Linked DNA regions of Oryctolagus cuniculus. The protein of the gene in region 2 purifies or fractionates together with the protein of the main gene of each other region. This does not show direct contact. Links are inferred from orthologs where the notes say so. Each region holds a gene or a part of one and is shown on either strand. Other genes may lie near its edges.

Region 1 (3,648 bases), on a different chromosome or scaffold from region 2:
GCGCTGGCCCCGCCCTGGCAGCACGCACACACTAAGCACCCTGCTGAGGTGGGCCGCCCCTCCCCGGCGTGGTGAGCCTTTCTTCATGGAGCGAGGCTGCTGATGGCCTCTGGCTGAAGCTCAGGGTCTCTCTGCAGTGGTAACTGATCCAGGGCAGGACGCCGCATTGTGTGGCACCTGTTCTCATGATCTACAGCTCGGCTGTCGGACGGCTGTCGTCGTGTCGTTTGGTTTCAGTTAGTTAAAAAGTTCGATTTTGACATTGCTCTTGTTTTTCACTTGCCTGGAGAGACCTGTCAGGATTGAGTGTGTGTGCTGTTAAGGCTGATAGATTCTAAGTTCGTGATAGTGCGTTTTACAGTTGTTTCAGGAAATGTGCAAATGCAGTTTCCAAACAGATGCCACACTGGTGTGGACACTAACACATTGTTACAGCACTGATTTTTACCTGAGTGACCTAATCTGTCGTATCTTTGCAGGGTAAGATAATAAGGCCTGGACTTAGCTGGGATTCTGGCATTCTGATTTTAGGGTTGATAAATAAGTGCTACCATGGAGTGTGATATTTGGTAGTTCAGTGGTACAACCCATAAGTCTTTGCAAGTGGAGGAAAGATGAACTGATGTTTCCTTCTGTCTTTTGCCCCAGCTCCCGCTAGGCCGGCAGTGCGTGGAGCATTACCGCCTGCTTCACCGTTACTGCGTGTTCTCCCACGATGAGATGATTTGCAAGATGGCTTCCAAGGCGGATGTACTGGACGTGGTAGTGGCTTCAACTGTTCAGAAGGACATGGCCATCATGATCGAGGATGAGAAGGCTCTGAGGGAAACTGTCCGTAAATTGGTAAGATTTTTGGAAATCCAATTTCGTGTCATTGGGTATTACATAATAAAGTTGTTATGCACCTTAGTGTCATCATTTCCTAATGTATGTAATTCCCTTCATGGCCATTCTGGTGGGTGTATAATAATCTTATAGTAGTTTTAATTTTCATTGACTATCTAAATTATCTGCCACCTGAACCTGTTTTCCATGAAATGTCTGTTCCAATGCTTTGCCTTTAAAAAAAAAAAAAAAAAAAAAAAAAAACAAGTCCTTAGGGACTGGTGCTGTGGTACAACAGACTAAAGGCCTGGTCTGCAGCGTCCACATCCCATCTGGGCACCAGTTCTAGTCCTGGCTGCTCCACTTCTGATCCAGCTCTCTACTGTGGCCTGGGAAAGCAGTAGAAGATGGCCCAAGTCATTGGGCCCCTGTACCCGCATGGGAGACCTGGAAGAAGTTCCTGGCTCCTGGCTTCAGATCAGTTCAGCTCTGGCCATTGCAGTCATTTGGGGAGTGAACCAGCAGATGGAAGACTTCGTCTCTACCTCTGTGTAACTCTGTCTTTCAAATAAAATAAATCTTAAAAAAACAAAATGTATTTATTTGAAAGCCAGAGCTACAGAGAGATATGGTGAGACAGGGAGAGAGAGATCGATCTTCCATTCACTGGTTCACTCCCCAAATGGTCACAACAGCTGGGACTGGAACAGGTTGAAGTTAGGAGCCTGGAGCCTGAGCTCCATCTGGGTCTCCCATTTGGGTGGCAGAGGCCCAAGCACTTGAGCCATCTTCTGCTTTCCCGGGCACATCAGCAGGGAGCACAGCGGCCAGGACTTGAACCAGCTCTCCAGTACGGGTTGCTGGCGTCACTGGTGGTGGCTTAGCCTGTTGTACCATAGCATCAGCCCCTCGAAGGTTTTAAAAAAAAAAAAAAATCTGATTCCATTTTATGGAACGTTTTGAATTACTCTTGGACATACCTCTAGAATCTAGAGTGTTGCTCTCTGGAGCCCGCCTTCCCTGTGTCTCACAGGTGGGAACAGCTGTGCCCAGGAAGCTTCAGTGGCTTTCATCAGGAACAGGCGCTCATTTTAGAAGAAGGATAACCAGATGTGGAATTCACAGATGAAAATTGGGTATAAACTGCTTGAGTCACTCCCAGCTAAAATCTCTGGAGTTAGTCCTTAATCTCACTTTAAACAGGAATTCCAAATATCTCCATTCCATCAAGGCCTTGTGTTCAGTTGTAAATGAAAGCCACACTCCACTCATGGGTGTTTCCTTACTCTTGTCTGTAACTGTCACACGTGAAAAGGTTAAAACACAGTGCTTCATGGCGGATTTGATTAGGACCAGCATTCCCAGGGCTGGATTTGGATCCGGTTCCAGACCAGGAGAAAAGGCAGTACCAGTTTGGTTTTGAATGACGAAGGAATATCCCACAGGGGTCCAATGGTGCAAAGTATGATTGAAATGTTTCCTCACAGCGTTTCGTTTAGGAAATCCTTCTTGCGACTTGAGGCTTTGCTAGTGCAGAAATGCCCTAACCGACTCAGATGACAGCCCTTCAGCAAACTTGTGCAACAGGCTGAGACCCTGCTCCATCGCATTGTTTATGCATGTGGTCTTCTGGCTGCCTGTCTTCCTCCTCATTTTTGTACTTTTTCATAGTTTCTCCAGCAGCGTCCCTCAAGCCCTACATAGTATTTCCTTGGAAGTCAAAAGCATGTACATTCCCTTTGATCTGTACCCAGAATACAGAGATGGCAGATGGCTGGCTTGCAGTGGGATAGACAACTAACCTCGGTCGTCCAAGAGTCCTCTTAGCTGTTGTCATACTCAGACCAAAATGGCCAAACATAAAGCCCACCCTACCTTGTCTAAAAAGGGATTCTCCCTACGTGAGTGAAGTCTACTCACTTGCTTCTGTTTGCTGGGTCATTGTTACTTTGTGTCCTACACATCTGTAATCATGCATCTCTACTTGGGTTAAGTTGTTTTTTTTTTTTTTTTTTTTAATTCACCTCCTGCAAGCTTGTCTTGGGGCTGGGAGTTTTACTGTTCTTTAGAAGCCTCTTAAAGTAACCTTTATTCTAGGGAGTGATCGATTCAGAAAGAATGGATTTTGAGCTGTTGCCAGATGATGAGCGTCAGTGTGTAAAATGTAAAACTACATGCTTCATGTCTGCCATCTCCTGTTCTTGTAAACCTGGCCTGCTCGTGTGCTTGCACCACGTCAAGGAGTTGTGTTCCTGTCCTCCTCATAAGTACAAGTTGCGGTGAGTAGGAAGAATGATTTCACAGTGGCGCTGCTGTTCTAGGCCTGGAACGTGAGGTGGGGTACGTCTCTCTGAAAGCTAAGCCTGGGATTCTGTTCCAGATATAGATACACTCTGGATGACCTCTACCCCATGATGAATGCACTGAAGCTTCGAGCAGAGTCTTACAATGAGTGGGCCTTAACTGTGAATGAAGCTTTGGAGGCAAAAATCAACAAGAAGAAAAGTAGGTGGTGCAGAAAGTGTGACTTGGGGGTCAGCAGTTGAAGCTGATTGGGATGTCGCCAGCTATCAGCAGAATGGACTACGTGAAGCCAGCCTGGCCTTAACCTTGGCTAACCCTTCCTTGCAGCTCGGCAGAGAAGGTTTTAGACCAGAAGTGGAGGAGGCAAAACCTCGCATTTCATGTAGAACCTTAGAAAATTAAAAAAAAAAAAAAAAAATTACGTCTTAATGAAAAAGACAGCATGACATGCTAGTTAATCACTTTTGAATTCCAAAATTAAAGTCCTTGTACTGTACTTAGTACCTTTGAAAGTCACTG
Region 2 (4,348 bases):
CAAACCTACTGTGCTGCCATTCATAGGTATTTATATAAAAGAATATTTAATAATTATAAAAGACTATACTACTGGTTTAGGGATTTACTAGACTATGCTTTTGTGTTGTTATTTTAGATATTCCTTCTACTTATAAAAACAAAAGTTTACTATAAAACAGTATATTGTGTTACACTTGCAACAGTCACATATATTTTACATTTATCACATCTTGATGCATCAAGAGGCCATTTGGGGTGATTGAGCAAGATAATCAAGGTTTATGTTAAGTACATTCTATGATATTCACACAATGACGACATCATCTAACAGTGCATTTCTCAGAACACGACCCTTCTGTTAAGTGGTACATGGCTGTAGTGAATCTATAGTTAGGGGGTCTATGTTAATGAAAATCTTTATGGGTATGAATAATCAAGAACAAAATGATATCTTGTATATCCTTGACTTGTAGGAAAATTTTTTATAATTCCATCATTTAAGAATACAAGCATATTTCATTTTCTTGTATTTTGCTTTACTGCACATTACAGATACTGCATTTTTTTTTTAATAGAAGGTTTTGGGAACCTTGCACATAGCAAGTCTATCAGCATCATTTTTTCAACAGCTTGGGTGGTTGCTAGCAATTTTTCGTAATAAAATATTTTTAAATTAACGAATGTACATTGTGCTTTGAGACACAGTGCTAATGCACACTTGAGAGACTATAGTATAGTACAAAAATAAGTTTAAATGCATAAAGAAACCAAAAACTTCGTGTTACTCGCTTTATTGCGATATTCACTTTATTGCAGTGGTCTGGCATGGAATCTGCCATTTCTCCGAGGTCTGCCTGTATACTGTGCTGGATGAAAAATGAAAGAAACAAAAGCCTTCTTCTCCCAGGGGACGGCCAGAACTTCATTTCTTGTTACCATACAATAATTGAAAGTGCTTCTTTAGAACAGGCATACATTACTGCTCTTTTCATGGACAAGTACAATGGCATTTAATCAAAAACTAAAGTGATATCTTCTCCCAGCATATCCCTCAGACCTGGCTTTGTTTTTGTTTTCACTAGTGAGTATTATTTTGAACTGACACGTTGTAAGATAGTCCATTTAAATATGTTAATTTTTAATAGCTTTCCAGAGTCCATTTCCAAAATTCTATTTCGATGTTTTACAATTCTGTCTGAATTCAGCTAAGATTCCATGGAGTGGAAGGAAAGATACTATTCAGGGGGCACAAAAACAAGACTTGGTGATAGACTAGAGCTGGGGAGGGAGTGCCACTGGAAAACCAGCGGCATTCCCGGGCAATGGCTAGAACAAGCACTGACAATAATCCTAACTCTGCCCGTTCTGTACTAGCAACTTCACTGTAAAGCCTCACGATCAAGATGTTGCAATACAATAAGCATCTTTCTGTCACGTAGCACTGCGTCCATGAGGACTTGCTTAAACGTAGAGATTCCACTCGCTAAGGGGTGAAGGGGTGACAGCGGAGTTCCAGGTGAGCAGAAGAACACCATTAATTTCATACCAAACCCAAACAAAACCAAAAAGAGGGGACACCAAGCATCCCTGCTGGCTCAAAGTGAAAGGCAAAATGTAATAACGAGGCATGCGGAGGCCTCGCAAACACGCAAGCGAGTTCTTCCATCAGAAGAAAAAAAAAAAGAAGAAGAAGAAGAAAAAGAAAATGGAAAGTTTGGTAACTTTCAAGCGCTTCACTAAATGTCTCAACGAAACTTTAGCCCAGAGGCCAGTTCGTGTAAAGAAAGTTAGGCTCCACCAGTGTCTACAGCCGGCTTTAAATCCTCGAGGCCTCCACACATTGTTTTAGGGAACCCCACAACGCCTCGCGGCCGTGTAGCCCGTGGGCAATTCACACCTAACACCCTGCCCTTCACGTCCAAGGCCTTCCCGGGCCTCTCCCAGTTCTGAGCTTCGGAGGTAGCGCACGCCCAGAGGAAAGAAGAAAAAAAAAAAAAAAAAACAAAAAAAACAACTTCCAACTGTTGCGTCGCAGGGGATCGAAACAGAAAGTCAGGCGACCACCGAGGACTCCAGATCTCCACTGGAGAAAAACTCGCCAACACACGTACCATTTTTGTACTTTAAAAAAGAATTTTTTTTTCGCTGCATGAGGGCTGGTAATCAGCCGTCGGCTGCGAGCCGCTGTCTCGCTAGAGGAGACTGCACCTGTCACTTCGCTCAGGGACCCGAGCCCCACCCGCCCGACACCTGTCAAGCTGGAGCCGAGACCCCTCCAGCAGCCCTCTCCCCGTCGCTCACGATCCCGGATCTCTGTCACCGCCCCGCAGACGCTCCGCTGCCGTGGAGGAGGCAGGGAGGGACCCTCGGACCATCCCGCCGCCGGGACCGACCCCGGCGAGGATGCGCCCGCGCCCAGCCGCCGCGGCTCCCGCCCGCCCGCCCGCCGCACCCCCGGGACTCCCTCCTCGCGTGCCGGCCGCAGCGGCGGCGGTGCCCGCTCACCTGGCCAGAGGCAAGTCCTCAGGACCACTGTCCTGTTCCGCGTCCTCCTCAGGAGGCGGCGGCGGCGGCGGCGCCGGGGGTTCCACCGCGGCGGCGGCGGCGGCAGCTGCTCTTCTCGGGGTTTTGGGCGGCATGACGCCTTCTCAAGGCAGGAGCAGCGAGCTGAGGAGGAGCGCCGAAAACTGACGGCGCGCGCGCACCTCGGGGCACGCCCCGTCCCCTCCCGACTCCCGTTACAAAAATAATTTGAACGTCCCCTGAGAAAAACCGGACGCGCCCTCCCCCGCCCGGCAACCGAGCGCCGCGTCCAACCGCGGGAAAACGTCACTTCCGCCCGCGGCGTCACGTCCGCGAGGCTCTCGGGCCCGCCGGCGTCTGGGGGGAACCGGGGCGCCAGGCGGTGCGCGGGCCGGGGCGCGAGGTCGCGCGGGAAGGCCGGCGCGGGTCCAGGCACCCCGCTGGGAGCCCTGGGTGCTGCCCGAACGTGGTTTTCTCCGAAACTGCCCCCCGGTGGGCCGGTGTCGCGGCTTTACAAAGAACCCGGTGGGTGACACGGGGGCCGCGTCGCTATCTCTGGGTCTGGGCGGGGAGCGCTGGGCGAGGGCACCCTGGGCGGGCACGCCCCTCTCCCTCTCCCTCTCCTCACCCTCACCCTCCTCCTCCTCCTCCTCCGTGGGCGGCGCCGTCCCTCCCCGCCTCTCTCCTCCCGCCCGCTCGGTTTAGCCTCGCATCTTTGGCCAAACAACAACAAATGGGGAGCACCGCGTAGGTGTGGAACTCTGCTGGCTTCTGGCGCTTGGGCAGTGCAAGACAATAGCTGCCCTTTTTGGGGGGATCGCTGGGTGGAGAGGCCGCGGCTGTGGCCATGAACAGACCCTAGCTTATAGAAGGTCTTAATGGTGATGTAAAAAGAGGCGGCACCATCCAGACGTCAAAGGGAGGTTTTTGGAGGGGCAGTGGCAATTGAATAGAAGTTTCCTAGGCCAACCCATTATTTAAGGAGCGCTTGCTGTGTACCACAGACTGTGTGGAGCACCTTCTGTAATTATCTGGAATCCTCCGAAATGGCCCTTTAAAAGGAGGGCGGGGAAAGGGTACAAGTGCACTTAAGAAAGTTCATGAAAATGACATTAAAAGAGGGATTTATTCGTGTGCCAAAAACGTTTTGAAATCCGTGCGTATTGGGGATCTTCAAAAAGTTCGTCGAAAATACACATTCTCAAAAACTAGGCATGGGTTTCAAAAGTGTTCACGCCCAAATAAACTTGGCTGTTAATTCCGTTTTTCCACGAACTTTCTAAGGTATACCGCCTGGTGTTAGCCTTTCACGTTGTGAAGGGAGACGCAGGCTTGGAGAAGTTAATTAATTTGACCAAAATCACAGAGCAAAAGGAAGGCAGAAGGCTTGCACTCCACTTCTCCGTTAGGTTCTGTCAATGAAGAAGCCAAGCAGGAAGTGCAAAGGCACAAAGTCAGCAAAGAACTTAGTGGAGCCACCACCTTAAAACTCTGGCTGAGAAGCTGTGTATCTGTCTCTTGGTATTTATTTATATTAATAGATTGTCTAATTTAAAAAAAATTATTTATTTGAAAGGTAGAGTTACAAAGAGAGGGAGAGGCAGAGAGAAAGGTCTTCCATCCACTGGTTCACTCCCCAGATGACCACAACGGCTGGAGCTGGGCCAGTCCGAATCCAGGAGCTTCTTCTGGGTTTCCCATACAAGTATAGAAGCCTGAGTACTTGGGCCACCTTCTACTGCTATCCCAGCCCACAGCACAGAGCTGGATCAGAAGCGGAACAGCCAGGACTAGAAGCGGCACCCATATGAGATACTGGTGCTGCAGGCAGAGGCTTAGCCCAC

Evidence for each region. Proteins that work in one complex are often made in the same cells at the same time.
Region 1: the proteins of RB1 (region 2) and KDM5B purify together in Homo sapiens (affinity purification with western blotting; 3 studies listed by BioGRID). This does not show direct contact. The link is inferred for Oryctolagus cuniculus from reciprocal best matches to the Homo sapiens genes RB1 and KDM5B.

What each region holds. Positions count from the first base shown.
Region 1 is NC_091444.1:18,514,444-18,518,091, reverse strand, and holds part of KDM5B (lysine-specific demethylase 5B), read left to right. Parts: intron 1-648; coding exon 649-843; intron 844-2,922; coding exon 2,923-3,104; intron 3,105-3,205; coding exon 3,206-3,330; intron 3,331-3,648. UniProt on the Homo sapiens protein: Histone demethylase that demethylates 'Lys-4' of histone H3, thereby playing a central role in histone code. Does not demethylate histone H3 'Lys-9' or H3 'Lys-27'. Demethylates trimethylated, dimethylated and monomethylated H3 'Lys-4'.
Region 2 is NC_091440.1:67,324,843-67,329,190, reverse strand, and holds the start of RB1 (retinoblastoma-associated protein), read right to left. Parts: upstream 2,819-4,348; 5' UTR 2,621-2,818; coding exon 2,487-2,620; intron 1-2,486. UniProt on the Homo sapiens protein: Tumor suppressor that is a key regulator of the G1/S transition of the cell cycle. The hypophosphorylated form binds transcription regulators of the E2F family, preventing transcription of E2F-responsive genes.